Pelodiscus sinensis: one gene and its partner. The main gene of each other region encodes a partner of the protein of the gene in region 2 in a complex. Links are inferred from orthologs where the notes say so. Each region holds a gene or a part of one and is shown on either strand. Other genes may lie near its edges.

Region 1 (8,256 bases), on a different chromosome or scaffold from region 2:
CACCTCCAGTTATCCAGCCCAAAGTGAGGGATATAAATGGGATGTCTCCAGTTCCCTCTGTATACTTAGAGGCACATGAGGGAAAAGAAAAGGAAGAGCCGCAGGATCAATGTTTACAACAGCAGCGGGGAGACAGGAGAACAATAAGTGTGATAAAGGTGAGGGAAAGATGGGTGGAGGGTGAAAATTAGTGCAAGCAGGGGGAGAGGTAGGTGGGGGAGAGGGAGGACAGAGAGGGAAATCATGGACTGCAGGCGGTAAGTGGGGGTGATCACGGCCTGCAGGGGGTAAGGAGTAGGAGGAAGGACAGCAGAGAAGATCAGTGCCTGCAGGGGATGAGGGGAGAGGAGATGAGTGCCTGCAGCAGAAGAGGAGGGAGATCAGTGCCTGCAAGGTGTGAGGGGGAGAGGTCAGTGCTTGCAAGGGGGAGGGACAGGCACGGGTGGGAGGTTACTGCCTGTTGAGGTATGAATGTCTGGGTATAGGTAGAAGATCAGTGCCCACACAAGGCAAAGAAGATGGGGTATGTGTAGGGGAAAGTGGAAATCAGTGCCTACTGGGGGGCTAGAGATGGGGGGGAGCAGTGCCTGAGGTGGTGGAATGAAGGGGGGAAGGGCAGGAGGAACCAGTGCTCAGGAAGGAGGGAGGAAGGAATGGGGAAGGGGCAGTGCAAGTGGAAAGGGATGGGGACTGTGTGAAGGGAAGGGGGAGCAGTGCAGGGGGACAGAAGAATGGGAGCAGTGCTGGGGGGAGGAGTACAGGAGAGACAGGGAGGATCAGCGTGAAGGAATGGGGAAGAACAGGGCCAGGTATAGTGTAGCAGGGAGGGAAGAAATACAGGGGAGGGGAGATGATGGGGGAGAGCAGGGCCAGGAGAAGGAATGCGAAGGGTAGTGCTGGGGGGGGGTGAGATAGTATGTGCAGTAGGGGGGAAGTGATGTGGAAAGCAGTGCCAGGGGAAGGGATGCAGGGGGAGAACAGTGCAGAGGTGGGAAGGGATGCTGATGGGAGGGTGTGTGGGGAGACAGGGCCAGAGGGAACAGACAGTATGTGCATGGGAAGGATGAGGGAGGAGAGCTGGGGGAGGAGGAACGGAGATGGGGGGGAGGGCAGTGCGTGCACAAGGGGGAGGGATAAGGGAGAGCAGTGGCGGGAAGGGAGAGTGGCAGGGAGGGAGAGAAGGGATGTGGGGGGCAGTGCTAGGGAGCAGTGGGTACATAGGAGGAGAGAGAGGGGAGAGCAGGGCTAGGACAAGGGATCAGGGGAGGCAGTTCCAGGGGAGGAGCAGCAGGGGGGGCAGCATGTGCATGGGGGAGGGATGTGAGGGAAGGTAGTGCTGGAATGAAGGCTGGGGTTGAGCAGGCCCAGGAGAGGGGAGGAGGGATGGAGGAAGAAGGAATGGAGGAGGGAGAGAAGGCCTTGAGTGGAGGGAAGAGTAAGCCCAGGGTTGGGGGAAAGAATGGGGAAGGAGAGCAGGCCCAGGATGGAGGAGGGTTGAGGGGGAAGTGCTGGGGGGGGGGGAGCAGCAGCATGTGCATAGGGGAGGGACAGTGAGAGGCAATGCAGGAGGGAGGGCTGGAGGAGTCTTAAGGAAGGTGGAATACATGGCAAAGAGCAGGCCCAGGGTGAAGGAATAGAGGAGGGCAGCAAGTGCATGAGGGGAAGCATGTAGGGGAGGAATAGTGCTGGGGCAGGGAAGGTATGAGAGGGGGCAATGCCAGGGAGATAGGGAGGAGGGATGCGGGGAGGAAGTGTGGGGGGGGGTGCAGGGAGGAAGTATGGGGGGATGTGGAGAGGGACAGTAGGGATGTGGGAATGGCATGAGGATGGGGGAGGGATGCTGGGAAGAGAGAGAAGGGATGGAGGGGGTGAGGAGGCAGTGCTGGGAGGAAGAGGGGGAAGGGATGTAGGAAGGGGGAGCAATACTGGGAAGGAAAAGAGAGCAGTGCCAGGGGGGAAGGGATGGGGGGAGGGCAGTGTCGGTTTGGGGGGAGGGGAGGAGGAAAGGGGGCAGTGATGCGGAGAGGGAAGAGATGGGGGGGGAGCAGACTCAGGGGGGAAGGGATGAGGAAGGAGGGGACAGTGCTGATGTGGGGGGAAGCGTGGGAGGGGGGAAGACATGTGGGTGGAGGCAGTGGTCGGCAGGGAAAAGGGATGTGGGGAGGCAATGGAGACGAAGGGGAGATGGGATGTGAAGGATAGTGCGGGTGGGGGGGGGCGGAGAGAAGGGATGCGGGGGGGCACTCCCAAAGGGGGACAATGCGGGGGGAGAGAGAAGGGATGCGGGGGTGGCAGTGCCGGGGGGCACTCTCGGGAGGGCAGTGACGGGGAGAAAGGCTGGGGGGCAGAAGGGATGCGGGGGGCAGAGCCGGGGGGAGAAGGGATGCGGGGGGCAGGGCGTGCACGGGGCACACCTCCAGGACAGCGCTGCTCAGCTCCCTGATAGCGAGACTGGGGCCCGGGCGCGGGCCCTGCGGGGACGGGGGGATCCCTGCCAACCCGGCCCGGCCCCGGCCCCGGCCCGAGTGTCGCGCTGCGGCCGGGGCCCGGCCGGGGGGTGCGGGCTGCGGGCAGGGGGCCCCGCTCCGTACCTCTCCCTTTGTGTCTGGCGGCTGCTCCGCGGCGCGGCTGGGCCTGGCCACTCGTGTCTCTCGCTGGGAGAGAAGCGGAAGTGCTGCAACAGCAACTCTTACCCAGGCAATGGCTGCCCCGCTCCTCCCCGGCCCCTCGGCGAGCCGGGGCTGCCGGAGCAGGCTGCCCTCACCCCCAGGGGGCAGGCGGCGCGGGGGCCGCGGAGGGAGGCTCCTGCGCCTGCCGAGGCGAGTGTGTGAGCGCGGAGAGGGAGAAATAACGAGCCGCGGGGCTCCGCTCCCTGCCCCGGTCTTAGGGGGCACTGGGAGCAGCTGGGGCTGCCCGAAGGCTGAGCCGGGCGCCTGCCCATTCCCCCCCCTGGTTCGGCCCCAAAGCCGCAGCTCCCCCCGGCCTGATCCCTCCCGCCGCCGCAACTTCTCACCTGGCTCAGTCCTAGGGCAGCGGCAGCGGCAGCAGCTTCCTCCCCGTCTCTCACCTGTCCCGGCCCGCACGCAGCAGCCGCTTCTCCCCTCCCCTCGCTCAGCCTTGACTCATCCTCGGCCGCCGCAGCAGCTGCTTCCCCCTTGCCCGCGCCCCGGGTTCAGGCTTCCATTGTCCCCACGCAGCCCCCCGCGCGCGCAGCGCCACACAAAAGGAAGGGCCGCTTGTGATGTCAGCAGCTCCTGCGGAGAGACGGCAGCAGGCTGGCCAGCTACAGGAAGGAAAAGCAGGTTGGATTTGGGAATGGAACAGGATCCGCAAAGGGGGAGCCTCCCAGCTGGGGCACCGCATTAAATAAAGTTGGGCCAGATGATGCTGCATCTCCAGTGGCTTCTTCTCCCCCCTCTCTCCTTCTTCTCCCCCCTGTCTCCTTCTTCTCCCCCTGCAAAGCCTTTGCAGATGATCTTTTTGCTACCTGCACAGCCCTAAGAAAAAATAACACTGACTTCAAGAGTGATTCACTGTACTTCTCCCATGGTAAGAAGACAGCAGTCAGTCACTTTTCTATGGGCCAAGGCATAGTGCCATAGATCTAAATGGAAACGCTGCACCAGATTTATTTCTGTCCCTTCTTCCTCCCCCGTTGACTTCAGCAGGTTAATATAACCGCTGAATGTGGTTCAGTGCTTTTAGTTTCCAAATGTATATCAAGAGATGACCAGACAATAACTATGTGATATAGTGTAGTAGGCAGGAAAATGAAATCACCACTGTGCATCATAATCATTAGTATTACTTTGCATTTCTGGAGATATTTAAGAGTAGGTTAGATAAATGTCTATCAGGGATGGTCTAGACAGTATTTGGTCCTGCCATGAGGGCAGAGGACTGGACTCGATGACCTCTCAAGGTCCCTTCCAGTCCTAGTGTTCTATGATTTCTATCCTTCCTTGCAATGGAGGATCTCAAAGCAATCTACAAACAAATGATTACAACTGCACAACACACCTATCAAGTATGATGGGTATGATTATTCCCACCAATCTATGTTTTGTAAATCAAAACCCATCTGTCTAGTCTCCCAGGATTTTCTGGGATGCTCAACACTTGCAGCTCTCTTGACTTCCCATTGAGTTTGGATCATAGTATCATACTATCATAGAGCTGGAAGAGACCTCAGAAGGTCATCAAGTCCAGACTCCTGCTCTAGGCAGGACCAATCCCAACTAAATCAACCCAGCCAGGGTTTTGTCAAGCCAAGACTTAAACACCTCTAGGGATGGAGACTCCACTACTTCCCTAGGTAATCCATTCCAGTGCTTCACCACTCTCCTAGTGAAATAGTTTTTCCTAATATCCAACCTGGACCACTCCCACCACAACTTGAGACCATTGCTCCTTGTTCTGTCATCTGTCACTACTGAGAACAGCCCCTTTCTATCCTCTTTGGAACCTCCCTTCAGGAAGTTGAAGGCTGCTATCAAATCCCCCCTTACTCTTCATTTCTGCAGACTAAGCAGACCCAACTCCCTCAGCCTCTCCTCAAAGGTCATATGTTCCAGCCCCCTAATCATTTTGGTTGCCCTCTGCTGGACCCTCTCCAATGCATCCACATCCTTTTCACAGTGGGGGGCCCAAAACTGGACACAATACTCCAGATGTGGCCTCACCAGAGCCAAATAAAGAGGAATAATCACTTCTCTGGATCTGCTGGCAATGCTCCTCCTATTGCACCCTAATATGCCATTAGCCTTCTTGACTACAAGGGCACACTGTTGACTCATATCCAGCTTCTCATCCACTGTAACCCCCAGGTCCTTTTCTGCAGAACTACTACTTAGCTGGTTGGTCCCCAGCCTGTAACAATGCTTGGGATTCTTCCGTCCCAAGTGCAGGACTCTGCACTTGTCCTAATTGAACCTCATCAGATTTCTTGTGGCCCGATCCTCCAATTTGTCTAAGTCACTCTGGACCCCATCTCTGCCCTCAAGCGTCTCTACCTCTCCCTCTAGCTTCATGTCATCTTCAAAGTTGCTGAGGGTGCAATCCATCCCCTCATCCAGGTCATTAATAAAGATATTGAACAAAACTGGTCCTAGAACTGAACCTTGGGGCACTCCGCTAGAAACCGACCGCCATCGAGCCGTTGATCACTACCCGCTGGGCCTGGCCTTCTAGCCATCTTTTTATCCATCTTACTGTCATTTATCCAATCCACATTCCCTTAGCTTGCTGGCAAGAATATTGTGGGAGACCGTATCAAAAGCCTTGCTAAAGTCAAGATATATCACACCCACTGACTTTCCCATATCCACAGAGCCAGTTACCTTATCATAGAAGTTAATCAGATTGGTCAGACATGAATTGCCCTTTGTGAATCCATGCTGACTATGCCTGATCACTTTCCTCTCTTCCAAATGCCTCAAAATGGATTCTTTAAGGATCCCTTTCATGATTTTTCCAGGAACCGAGGTAAGACTGTCCGGCCTATAGTTCCCTGGATCGTCCTTCTTCCCTTTTTTGAAGATGGGCACTACATTTGCTTTTTTCCAATCATTCGGGATCTCTCCCGATCTCCACGACTTTTCAAAGATAATGGCCAAAGGCTCCCTCATTACCCTCGGATGCATTAAGTCCGGACCCATGGATTTGTGTACATTTAGCTTTTCTAAATAGTTCCTAACCTGTTCTTTATCCACCAAGGGCTGTCCATCTTCATCCCATCTTGTGTCACTTAGCGCATTAGTCCGGGAGCCGACCTTGTCCGTGAATATAGAGGCAAAGAAAGCATTGAGTACTTCAGCTTTCTCCACATCATCTGTCACTAGGTTACCTCCTTCATCCAGTAGGGACCCCACATCCTCTGATCACCTTCTTCTTGTTACCATGCCTATAGAAACCTTTTGGCTACGTCTACACTGGCACGATTTTCCGGAAATGCTTTTAACGGAAAAGTTTTCCGTTAAAAGCATTTTCGGAAAAGCATGTCTAGATTGGCAGGATGCTTTTCCGCAAAAGCACTTTTTGCGGAAAAGCGTCCGTGGCCAATCTAGACGCGCTTTTCCGCAAAAAAGCCCCAATCGCCATTTTTGCGGAAAAGTTTTTAGGAAAAAGACTTTTGCCCGAACGGGAGCAGCACAATATTTCTGCAAAAGCACTGACAATCTTACATGAGATCGTCAGTGCTTTTGCAGAAATTCAAGCGGCCAGTGTAGACAGCTGGCAAGTTTTTCCGCAAAAGCAGATGATTTTGCGGAAAAACTTGCCAGTCTAGACACAGCCTTCTTGTTATCCTTCACATCCTTGCCAGTTGCAATTCTGATTGTACTTTCGCCTTCCTGATAACCCTATTGATGTTCAGTAATTCTAAAAAATAGACTTCCAGTCTCATGTTTTAATCAAATTACCTTCTGTAACACTTCATGGCTGCATATTTAGACACTCGCCATAGCTGTCACTGAGGACTGAGTCCTGGAATTTCAGTATCAAAAGCTAAAGAGCATCCTGAAACAAAGATGTTCTCCATTGTGTATGAATTTACAATTTCCTCCAAAATGGCTCTCCATATGGAACTTTTGTTTTTGTGGATCTCAGATTCTCATCAGCAGGGCTCGACAAACCGCTGCATCTACTTGCCCGTGGCAAGTAGATTTCAGCCGGTCGCTCCGAGCGCCACATTCACTGGTGCTTCGCGCATGCGCAGTGCCGGTCTGGCACCTGCGCAGTGTGGGGCTGGCAAGTGGCTCTTGCCGGGGTTTGTCAAGCCCTGCTCATCAGAAACGTATCTCACAGGAGGGCATGTAAAACAGGATGATGCATGTGGTCACATCACTCTCTAGTCACGGCTGGCTCCGTCAGTTCCATAGTACTATCTCACAGACAAAATAACTCTTCTCTTAGCTCAAACAATAGGGTCTGTGGTATTGGTGATCTCAGGTTAAATCTTCACAAAGAGCCATTTTATGACATGTACATCTCATAATATCCCATTGCTGCTTTGTTCACTCAACTCTACTCTCAAACCCACGGAATCCTGCCTCTCTGAGACTCCAGCATAAAGAAAAGTTGAATTTTCCCTGACAGTTGTACAGTCGTACACGTTAAGATCAGAAGGGACCATCAGATCATCTAGCTTAGAGAGAATCTCACCACATCCACACCAAGCCCAACAAACAGAATCAGACAAAAGTATTATAGCCCTTAGGACATTAGGGCCAAAGTGCCACTAGTGCCCAAGGCCTCTATAATGGCATGGAATTGATTGAGATCCTAGCAAATGACCTTTATTGTACTGTACTTCATCCTCCAATGGCAGGTGAAAAAACCCCCTAAGGTTACAGCCTACATAATCTGAGGAAAATTTGTTCCTGACCTTGAACTAGTTTGTCCCTGTACATGTGAACCAGACTCATCAACTCAGCAGCTGAGAAGGAGAATTCTCAGTACTACCTCAGAGTATCAGCTGATCCCATCCATGGCCATGGCCATGGCCATAAAAAACCCCACCCGGAATATTTTGGGTGAAAATGTATTCCTTCTTTACCCCTTCAGGTGACTAGCTGAAGCCTTGAAGCATGACATTTTAGGACAGGAACCAGAAAGGACTCCAAAGCAACTCCATCAAACAATTCCACTAAAAAATGTATCTAACTTTATCTTAATACTAATTAGTCCCCCTCCCACCACTATCCATGCTTCTGATGGTTAAAAACCTTCTTTTAATTTCCAATGTAAAATTATTCATGGACAGTTTACTCTCTCCAGAGAATATGTCATGTCATACAGGAACAGTTGACCTGGAGATGGCACTAGAGGTGGGCTTGTCTTTGACAGTTATTTTAACAAGGCCTTACTTATGACCAAAATGTTAAATTAATAAATGAAGGCTTGGCTGGATAAGGAAAATCATTGACTTTGTTAAAAGTGTTTGGACCAGCTGAATCTCAGTTGCCTGTGGATGCCGATGCCACCTATGCGGCAGAGATATAATGTTTTGTAACTCATCTACGCCATGTAGCGAAGGCCATTTGGTAGAATTTAGCACTCACCATCTATACCCAATGGTTATTTATTGAGAGAGGGTACAATAGTCAGGCCATCTTTTTACTTAGTCTCTCTCCTCTCAATCAATGTATTTTTTCCTACATATCTTTGTTCTTCCCCTCTCCCCCTTCTTCCCTTTCATCTTTTCTCCTCATTGATAAGTTGGAGTAGGGGCGGATATAGGGCAGGGCGAGTGGGGCG
Region 2 (7,807 bases):
GTCATATGAGAGCTTCCCAATTTAACTGCTTTCAATTAGGGAACAAATGCACTGACTTCACAAGCACCACTCTTATTACACTTCCCACAGGCTCCATGGGAGTCTCCATCCGGTCCTGCACAGCCTTACAAACAATAGTCCTAATGCATATTCTTGAGGATGCTCTTTGACCAACTCCCCATCCCCCTTCATATTAAAACATAACAACGGCCAGACTGGGTCAGACCAATGGTCCATCTAGCCCAGTGTCCTGTCCTGACAGGTGCCCCAGAAGGAATGAACCAGACAGTAGTCACCCATTCGCAGCTTCTGACAAACAGAGGCTAGGGACACCATCCCTGCCCACCCTGGCTAATAGCCATTGATGGACCAATCCTCCATGAATGTATCTAGCTCCTTTTTTGAACCCTGTTAAAAAGTTATATTCTTTGCAGGGATATGCTTTTATCTCCCCACCCCCTCCTCCAACCCACTTCCCAATGTCACGTGGAACACTGAACTGCGCTTCCAACCCGAATCAATACTCATAACATCGTCGTCATCCTCATCTGGGATTTCGATCACTTCCATGGGCTTGGAGGCTGATTCTTCATCTTCAGAGCTGCTCTCACGATACTGAAGGCCCAGCTTGGAGTAGAGATCTTTTACCAGTATCTCACATTTACCAATGGCTCTGCAACATATTGAGGGGGGAAAAAAGGGGCAGAGAGAAAGATCCAAGATGAATATAATTATACCCCACTCCTCCCAGGAAGAGGAGAAGGTTTTGCACAGCTGATACCTGCTACTTTAAGGGGTTACTCAGCAATTGTGGCCATTATCACCACTAAGCAGAACTGCGAGTTTGCCCAAGTAAGCAAACCAGAATTAGGGGTTGGACAAACTAACCCGAAGGACTCAAAGCCACTACACGAAACAGCTACCAAAGTGCACGCGCTTAATGAGTACTTCTAAGAATCTGAGTGCATGAAACTTGCCTACACATCGTCCAGCAAGTCAGTGGTAGAGATGGAAATAGAACCTGAGAATCCTAATGCCCAGTTCCCTCTTCTAGAATTCTCTTTGCTACCTCCACTAGCTCTCTCTTCAACACAAAGTTGCCACTGCAAGTATACCTACCTTGAAGCATCATCAAAGAGCTGGTCAACATATGCCACTTCTGCTTCTTTCTGTTCCACACTCTTTTCCAGCTCTTCCAGCTGCTGTTTCCTCTGTTTCACACTCTCAAACTTCTCCAGCTCCTCATCAATGAATTGCTGGAGCTCCTCCATAGAGATCCCCAACTCCTCTATCACTTCTTGCTGCAACTCTGTTACTTCCTGAGAATCCATTTTTGCTAAAACCAAAGCAATAAAAGAAATATGTGACAACATGCAAGCTTCCAAGGCTCTGGTCACACACAGTGTATGTCAGCATAAGTATTGTACCACTCTAACCAACCTGACTGCAGTATAAGACCTCATAAGCATATGGACATTTTGGATGTAAGAGTGTAACTGTTTACATGGGTAACAGGTAAGCATGAGCTTATCAGTTACACAAATGGTTACATGCGGCTCCCGGTCCAGATCCTTGGGAGCAGCAGGTGGGAGCCAATACATGTGGAAAGCTAGCTTAAAAGTTGGTTCCCTGCTCTCTCTATGGGTATGTCTACACTACCCCCCTAGTTCGAACTAGGGGGTGGTAATGTAGTCATACGGAGTTGCAAATGAAGCCCGGGATTTGAATTTCCCGGGCTTCATTTGCATAAAGCCGGCCGGCGCCATTTTTAAATGCCAGCTAGGTCGGACCCTGTGCCGCGTGTAGCCCCTAGAGGCCCCCTTCTATCTGTGCCCCCCATTGCCCCTCCCTCAGAACCCCCCATTGCCCCTCCCTCAGAGCCCCCTTCTATCTGTACCCCAACTGCCCCTTCCTCATTGCCCCTCCCTCAGAGGGCCCCCTCAATCTGGACCCCAATTGCCCTTCCCCCAGAGCCCCCCATTGCTCCTCCCTCAGAGCCCCCCTCTATCTGTACCCCAACTACCCCTTCCTCATTGCCCCTCTATCTGTACCCCAACTGCCCCTTCCCCATTGCCCCTCCCTCAGAGCCCCCCTCAATCTGGACCCCAATTGCCCCTCCCCCAGAACCCCCCATTGCCCCTCCCCCAGAGCCCCCCTCTTTCTGTACCCCAACTGCCCCTTCCCCCTCCCCCAGAGCCCCCCTCTATCTGTGCCCCCCATTGCCCCCCCCCGCTCCCATGTTCCCCGAGCCCACATTCCTCACCTCTCCCCGGGCCCGGGGGGTGGGGCTGTTTCTGAGGAGCAGCCGTTGGCTGCGGGCAGACCGGATGGAACCTCTCAGCACTTCCGGTGACGGTAGCCCGCGAGGCACAAGTGAGCTCTGCTTGAGAGCGGGGCACGAGCCCACCGCTGGATATTGCGCATGCGCCCAGCGTGCCTCTGGGATATACTCTTAAAGGGCCAGGGGTCCGTCAGGCTGTGTGGGTCCGTGCGCATGCGCCGGGAGAACACATCGTTAAGGGCGCTGCGGCAGATCTTAAAGGGACAGCGGGGAGGTGCCTTGCCCGAGGTCACAGAGCGAGTCAGTGGCAGAGCCGGGAATGGACGCCAGGAGTGCGGGCTCCCCCTGCCACAACTCTGCGCACTTCACAGGGGCTTCCTGGGCACTAGCCTCTGAGCTGAGGCTGTAGCTGCCTGACATGGGCCACGAGGCTAGTGCTGGGCTCGCGTGGGTGGGGGATAACAGCCTACTACTGCTGCTTTCTTGCAGCCCTGCCTGAGGGACAGGCGCTGCACTGGTGGGCTGAGGCTTGGCGCTCAGCGTTCAAATCTTGCTGAGGAACTCACCCTGTGCTGAGATGTCACAGGAGAGAAACATCCTGCCCCTCATTCCAATCGTACACACGTGACTATGTGCAGGAAAACCAGAGTGGGCAGGTCTGCGCTCACTTTCTTGCTCCGGTAGAGATGGCCGCTTGGCGTAAGCAACCATCTCCTACTCCAGCTTGCTGTCGGAGCCAGCCAGCCCAGATGGCTACTCCTGTCTTCCTCAATAAGGCATTAGGATTAGGAGAATCTAAGGGGAGTCAAGGAGAGTCAAGGAGATAAGGAGAGTCAAGACTCCTAACTTCTGTTCCTGGTTTGGCCATGGACACTTTGACACAAGGAGTTTAGTATATTCACTTACCACCCCAAAGTCTTATGAAGCTGAATTAATTGTCAAGTGCTTTGAGATCCTTAGATGGAAGATACCAGGTATTATCAATAGTGTTAGAATCTGACAAATGCACAATTTAAGCTACAGAATCTTCATTATCTGTGCAGGGGTGGGGGATTACAGGGACCACAAGAGGCAAAAGAGTCACCCACAAGGAACTGATTAGCCAGTTTTCCTCCTATTTATTGTCAGTCAATTGATCTGCTCTTCCTCCCAAGTGGAGGTGGGGATGGCGCTGTATGGGTCCACAATCAGCTTGGCGCACCTCACGATCATGGCCATCAAGAAAACGCACATCAGGATGACAAACCCAATGGCAAACCCCTTGTCCACATCGACGTACGGCTGCACTGTCGGACTCTCCATAGGGCTCCGCCTTCACACCCTGCTCTGTCCTCTGAGCTCTGGCACGTCCATCACCTGCACAGCAGAGTTTGAGATGGAAATCATTATTTTTGTGCATAATTTATATTGTGATTGTGTAATCCATACACCTAGGCTACATCTACACTGGCATGATTTTCCGGAAATGCTTTTAACGGAAAAGTTTTCCGTTAAAAGCATTTTCAGAAAAGTGTGTCTAGATTGGCAGGACGCTTTTCTGGAAAAGCACTTTTTCCAGAAAAGTGTCCGTGGCCAATCTAGACGCGCGTTTCTGCAAAAAAGCCCCGATCGTCATTTTCGCGATTGGGGCTTTTTTGCGGAAAACACTACAGTGCTGTCTACACTGGCCGTTTTCCAGAACAGTTTTCCAGAAAAAGACTTTTGCCCAAATGGGAGCAGCATAGTTTTTCCGGAAAAGCACTGATGATTTTACATTAGATCGTCAGTGCTTTTCCGGAAATTCAAGCAGCCAGTGTAGACAGCTGGCAAGTTTTTCCAGAAAAGCGGCTGATTTTCTGGAATAACTTGCCAGTGTAGACACGGCCCTCGTGTGTGTGGTTCACTGTCCCATGTAGTGGCATTTAGACCACTTATAGTGAGAGAAAAGAATGAGTGAGCTCTACAGCCTAAGATTAGAGCCAGCTGGCTTTATAGCTTAAGCTGTAGCGGCTCCTACACTAAACTCTAGAGAGCCCGGTTTCAAATCTGCAGGGAGGTGATTACAATTGCACCTGTGGGTTCCAATTAAGTCTCTATGGTGCTTGGTGTTGTAAACAACCTAGTCACTGGCCCAAAGAGCTCACCTATGAAATTAGGAAGTTTGCATTACCTGCAGAGGACAGAAAATGCTAGAGTTTGCTGCTCATAGGTTCAAAGACTTTAAAGCCAAAAGGGACCCACATGATTATCTATTCTGACCCTATGCACAGGCCACAGAATCTCACCTATTCAGTCCTGTAGTAGGCCCATGATCACCAGCTGAGTTACTGAAGTCCTCAAAACTTGATTTAGAAAATTCAAGTTAGAGAAAAGCCGCCATTTGTTCTGGGAAGTGTCCTGTGCCCCACAGCACAGAGGGAAGGAAAAAAGCCCTCTAGCATCTCTGCCAATCTGACTGGAGGGAAAATTTCTCTAGTAACTTAGAAGCCTCCCCCTCTAGCGTCCCCTCTTCTGCCATGGGAGATAGTTGTGAACAGCTGTTGTGGATGGGCCATATGTCATTGTATGTAACTTCTCAGATAATTTCCTCCATAAACTTATCAAGCGCTTCCTTTGGCCCATCAACCCCAGTATGTTCCATGTGAGAGACATGTCACAACATATTGGTTATGTACTGAGTACCGCTGAGAGAGGCCTGACTCCCCCATTTCCCTAAACACTGAGACATAGTCACTTTCTCTGGCTCAAGTCATGTTTATTTCTCCATATTTACAGAGTGGACCAGCTTCAAGAGTGGGGATTGAGAAAGTACCATTAACCCACTGGGTAGGGCACTCATCTCAGAGGGGAGAGACCTGCGATCATGTCCCTTCTCTGATTCAGGCAGGCATTGGCCATGTAACCACTGAGCTAAGGAGTGTAAGAAGGGCAGCTGTGTTTTGTGGGAGGTCTGATCTGGTAGACAAGCTCTTTAGCAGCCTCAGCATGCCTGTGTCTGTGTCTCCATTCCACATGAGAATAATAGCTTTTCCAAGGAGTGCTGTGAAAATACCGGCATTAAAGAGGATGAAGTGCTTGCTGCGATGTGATGCGGGCCACAGGAATACTTTGGATAAGTGACCTGACACATCATCAAGATGACAGATTTCCGTTTATTTACAGTCACTTGTTTGTATCCTGTTGTAGTTTAGTTCCAGGAGACACTGAAAATACTTGGCTGCTGGCTTTTGGATTGTTCATACTCAAAGCATGTGCCCAGGGCTATGTCTGGTGCGGTGAGTAGTTTTCCATGTGATTTCACTACTGGTGTATTTTCACTTTCAGATGTGTAATAACGTTGCTTAGTGCACTCCTGAAAGGCGCTGAGATGCTACAGCGATGAGCAAGCTGTGAGAACCTGTATAGACTAGAAGTGGTGAAAGTTTGACTGTCTCAGAAATTTTGGAGTCCTCTGTTTATCCAGAGAACATATCTAGGAGGGTCAGCAGCAGGAAATGCATCCCTAATTCCTCCCACCCTCAAACCTGTTCTAGGAGGACTACAACCGAAGGGGTCACTCAGATGCCAGAGCCTCTCAGTCCCTGTCATCTTTGCCAAACCTGCTAAAAAGTGAACAAGGTGGCAAGCTTTTTGAGACTGTTCTGTGTTTGTACAGCACCTAGCACAAAGGGGTCCTGATCCGTGACTTTCCTTCTCCCCACCACACACACTACTGCCCTGCAGATAATAATAGGTCTCCCTTTACTGCAGTAGCTGAGCATCTCACAGTCTATAATATATTTATCCTCATGACATTAGTGGGAGGTAAGGCTATAAACCATGTTTTGCAGCTGGACAATTGAGGCACGGAGAGATTAAGGGAGTGGCCCATGGTCGCACAGAGATTCTGTAGCAAGGGCACGGTCTTGAACTGAAGTTTCATGAGGCCCTGGACTCTTAGATCCTTGTTAATGTTCATCTGTCTGAAAGGAGGAGATATTGACAGCTGGGGTGCTGGCTGTGCAGGGTGGACACCCGTCACACTGGGGATAGACTGAGGCCCACCAAACTTAATTTCCTGTTACAGTTCCCTGATGAACCAGCAGGTGGCAGAGAAGGAAATCCTGTAAGTCAGTAGTCCCCAACCTTTTGGGACTGCCGGGTGCCCGGAGGCAGGGCCACTCACGCACCGGGCACCCAGGGGAGGGGCCACACATGGGCCCGGGGGCGGGGCCGCATACACACCCGGGGGCGGGGCCACCCGTACGCTGCGCACCCAGTGCCAGCGCCACCCATGCGCCACACTCCCAGGGCTGCCACCGCTCCTGTACCTCACGCCTAGGGGCGGGGCCACCCATATGCCGCGTGCTCAGGGCCAGCGCTGCTCAGGGGTGGGGAGCCAAGCGCCCAGGGGTGGGTACGCCCATACGTCGCGTGCTTGGGGCCGGCACAGCCCATGCGCCGCCCACGTGCTGTGGGCCCGGGGCCGGGGCCGGCGTTGCGCCTTCACCGGGCGCCCGGGTCGGTGCCGCTCATACGCCGCGTGCCCAGGGGCCAGCAAAGCCCTTGCACTGCATGCCTGGGGATGGGACCAGTCCCGATCACTCGGTGGGCGCACAGAAATGTCCCGGCGGGCGCCATGGCGCCCACGGGCACTGCGTTGGGGACCACTGGTGTAAGTGACTGTTCCAGTGAAGTCTGATGCAGCTGGTGAAGTGTCACAGAGGTCACCTGTGTTACAGAACCCAGCTCTCCCAGGCCAGCAGCATCTTAACGACTGGTCCACCCGTCCTCTCCTGCTACCTTATCATGACTGCCCCTTGGCCTGCCCATAATTAGCCATTTTCTTGTGAGCACCATAAAGTCAGTGAGTCTGGAGAGATTGGAGGCACATGAGTGGCTTAAGGGATTGGCTAGAGGAACTTGTTGCCAGCATAGTGGGCGGGACTAAGTACTCTCTTCTAGACCATCCCTGACAGGTGTTTGTCTGACTTGCTCTTTAAAATCTCCAATAATGGAGATTCCACAACCTCCCTAGGCACATTGTTCCAGTGTTTAACCACCCTGACATTTCCTAATGTCCATCCTAAACTGCTCATGCTGCAATTTAAGCCCATGGCTCATTGTCCTGTCCTCGGAGGTTAAAGAGGACAATTTTTCTCTTTCCTCCTTGTAACAACCTTTTACGTACTTGAAAGCAGCTGTTATGTCCCCTCTCAGTCTTCTCTTTTCCAGATTAAACAAGCCCAATTCCTTCAGACTTCCCCCATAGGTCAAGTTTTCTAGATTTTTAATCATTTTTGTTGCTCGTCTCTGGACTTTCTCCATGCACGTCTTTCCTGAAATGTGGTGCCAGAATCGGACACAATGCTCCAATTGAGGCCTAATCAGTGCAGAGTAGAGCGGAAGAATGACTTCCTGTGTCTTTCTTACAACACTCCTGCTAATACATCCCAGAATTGCACTCCACACATGTTGGGCATGCCCAGTCCTACAGCTGCTCTAACTTACGTTCCACCATCCTGAGAAGCGGAGCTTAGCCACAATGCATTGAGCTCTGGCTACACC

What was found.
Region 1: the proteins of SETDB1 (region 2) and ubiquitin-conjugating enzyme E2 E1 are in contact, whole or in part, in a crystal structure (PDB 8IYA), measured with the Homo sapiens proteins. The link is inferred for Pelodiscus sinensis from reciprocal best matches to the Homo sapiens genes SETDB1 and UBE2E1. Residues at the interface, in NP_001138887.1 of Homo sapiens: Glu868, Gly869, Tyr870, Glu871, Ser872; in NP_003332.1 of Homo sapiens: Asn125, Ser126, Gln127, Val129, Cys131, Leu132, Lys136, Asp163, Pro164, Leu165, Val166, Gly167, Ser168.

Annotation. Positions count from the first base shown.
Region 1 is NC_134712.1:189,268,224-189,276,479, forward strand, and holds the start of ubiquitin-conjugating enzyme E2 E1, read right to left. Parts: upstream 3,246-8,256; 5' UTR 3,014-3,245; intron 2,825-3,013; exon of another isoform or gene 2,592-2,824; intron 1-2,591. UniProt on the Homo sapiens protein: Accepts ubiquitin from the E1 complex and catalyzes its covalent attachment to other proteins. Catalyzes the covalent attachment of ISG15 to other proteins. Mediates the selective degradation of short-lived and abnormal proteins.
Region 2 is NC_134734.1:21,839,411-21,847,217, reverse strand, and holds the start of SETDB1 (histone-lysine N-methyltransferase SETDB1), read right to left. Parts: upstream 3,008-7,807; 5' UTR 2,993-3,007; coding exon 2,848-2,992; intron 2,420-2,847; exon of another isoform or gene 2,264-2,419; intron 1,694-2,263; exon of another isoform or gene 1,441-1,693; intron 1,337-1,440; coding exon 1,120-1,336; intron 674-1,119; coding exon 501-673; intron 1-500. Other genes in the region: CTXND2 (cortexin domain containing 2), read right to left, coding at 3,410-3,583. UniProt on the Homo sapiens protein: Histone methyltransferase that specifically trimethylates 'Lys-9' of histone H3. H3 'Lys-9' trimethylation represents a specific tag for epigenetic transcriptional repression by recruiting HP1 (CBX1, CBX3 and/or CBX5) proteins to methylated histones.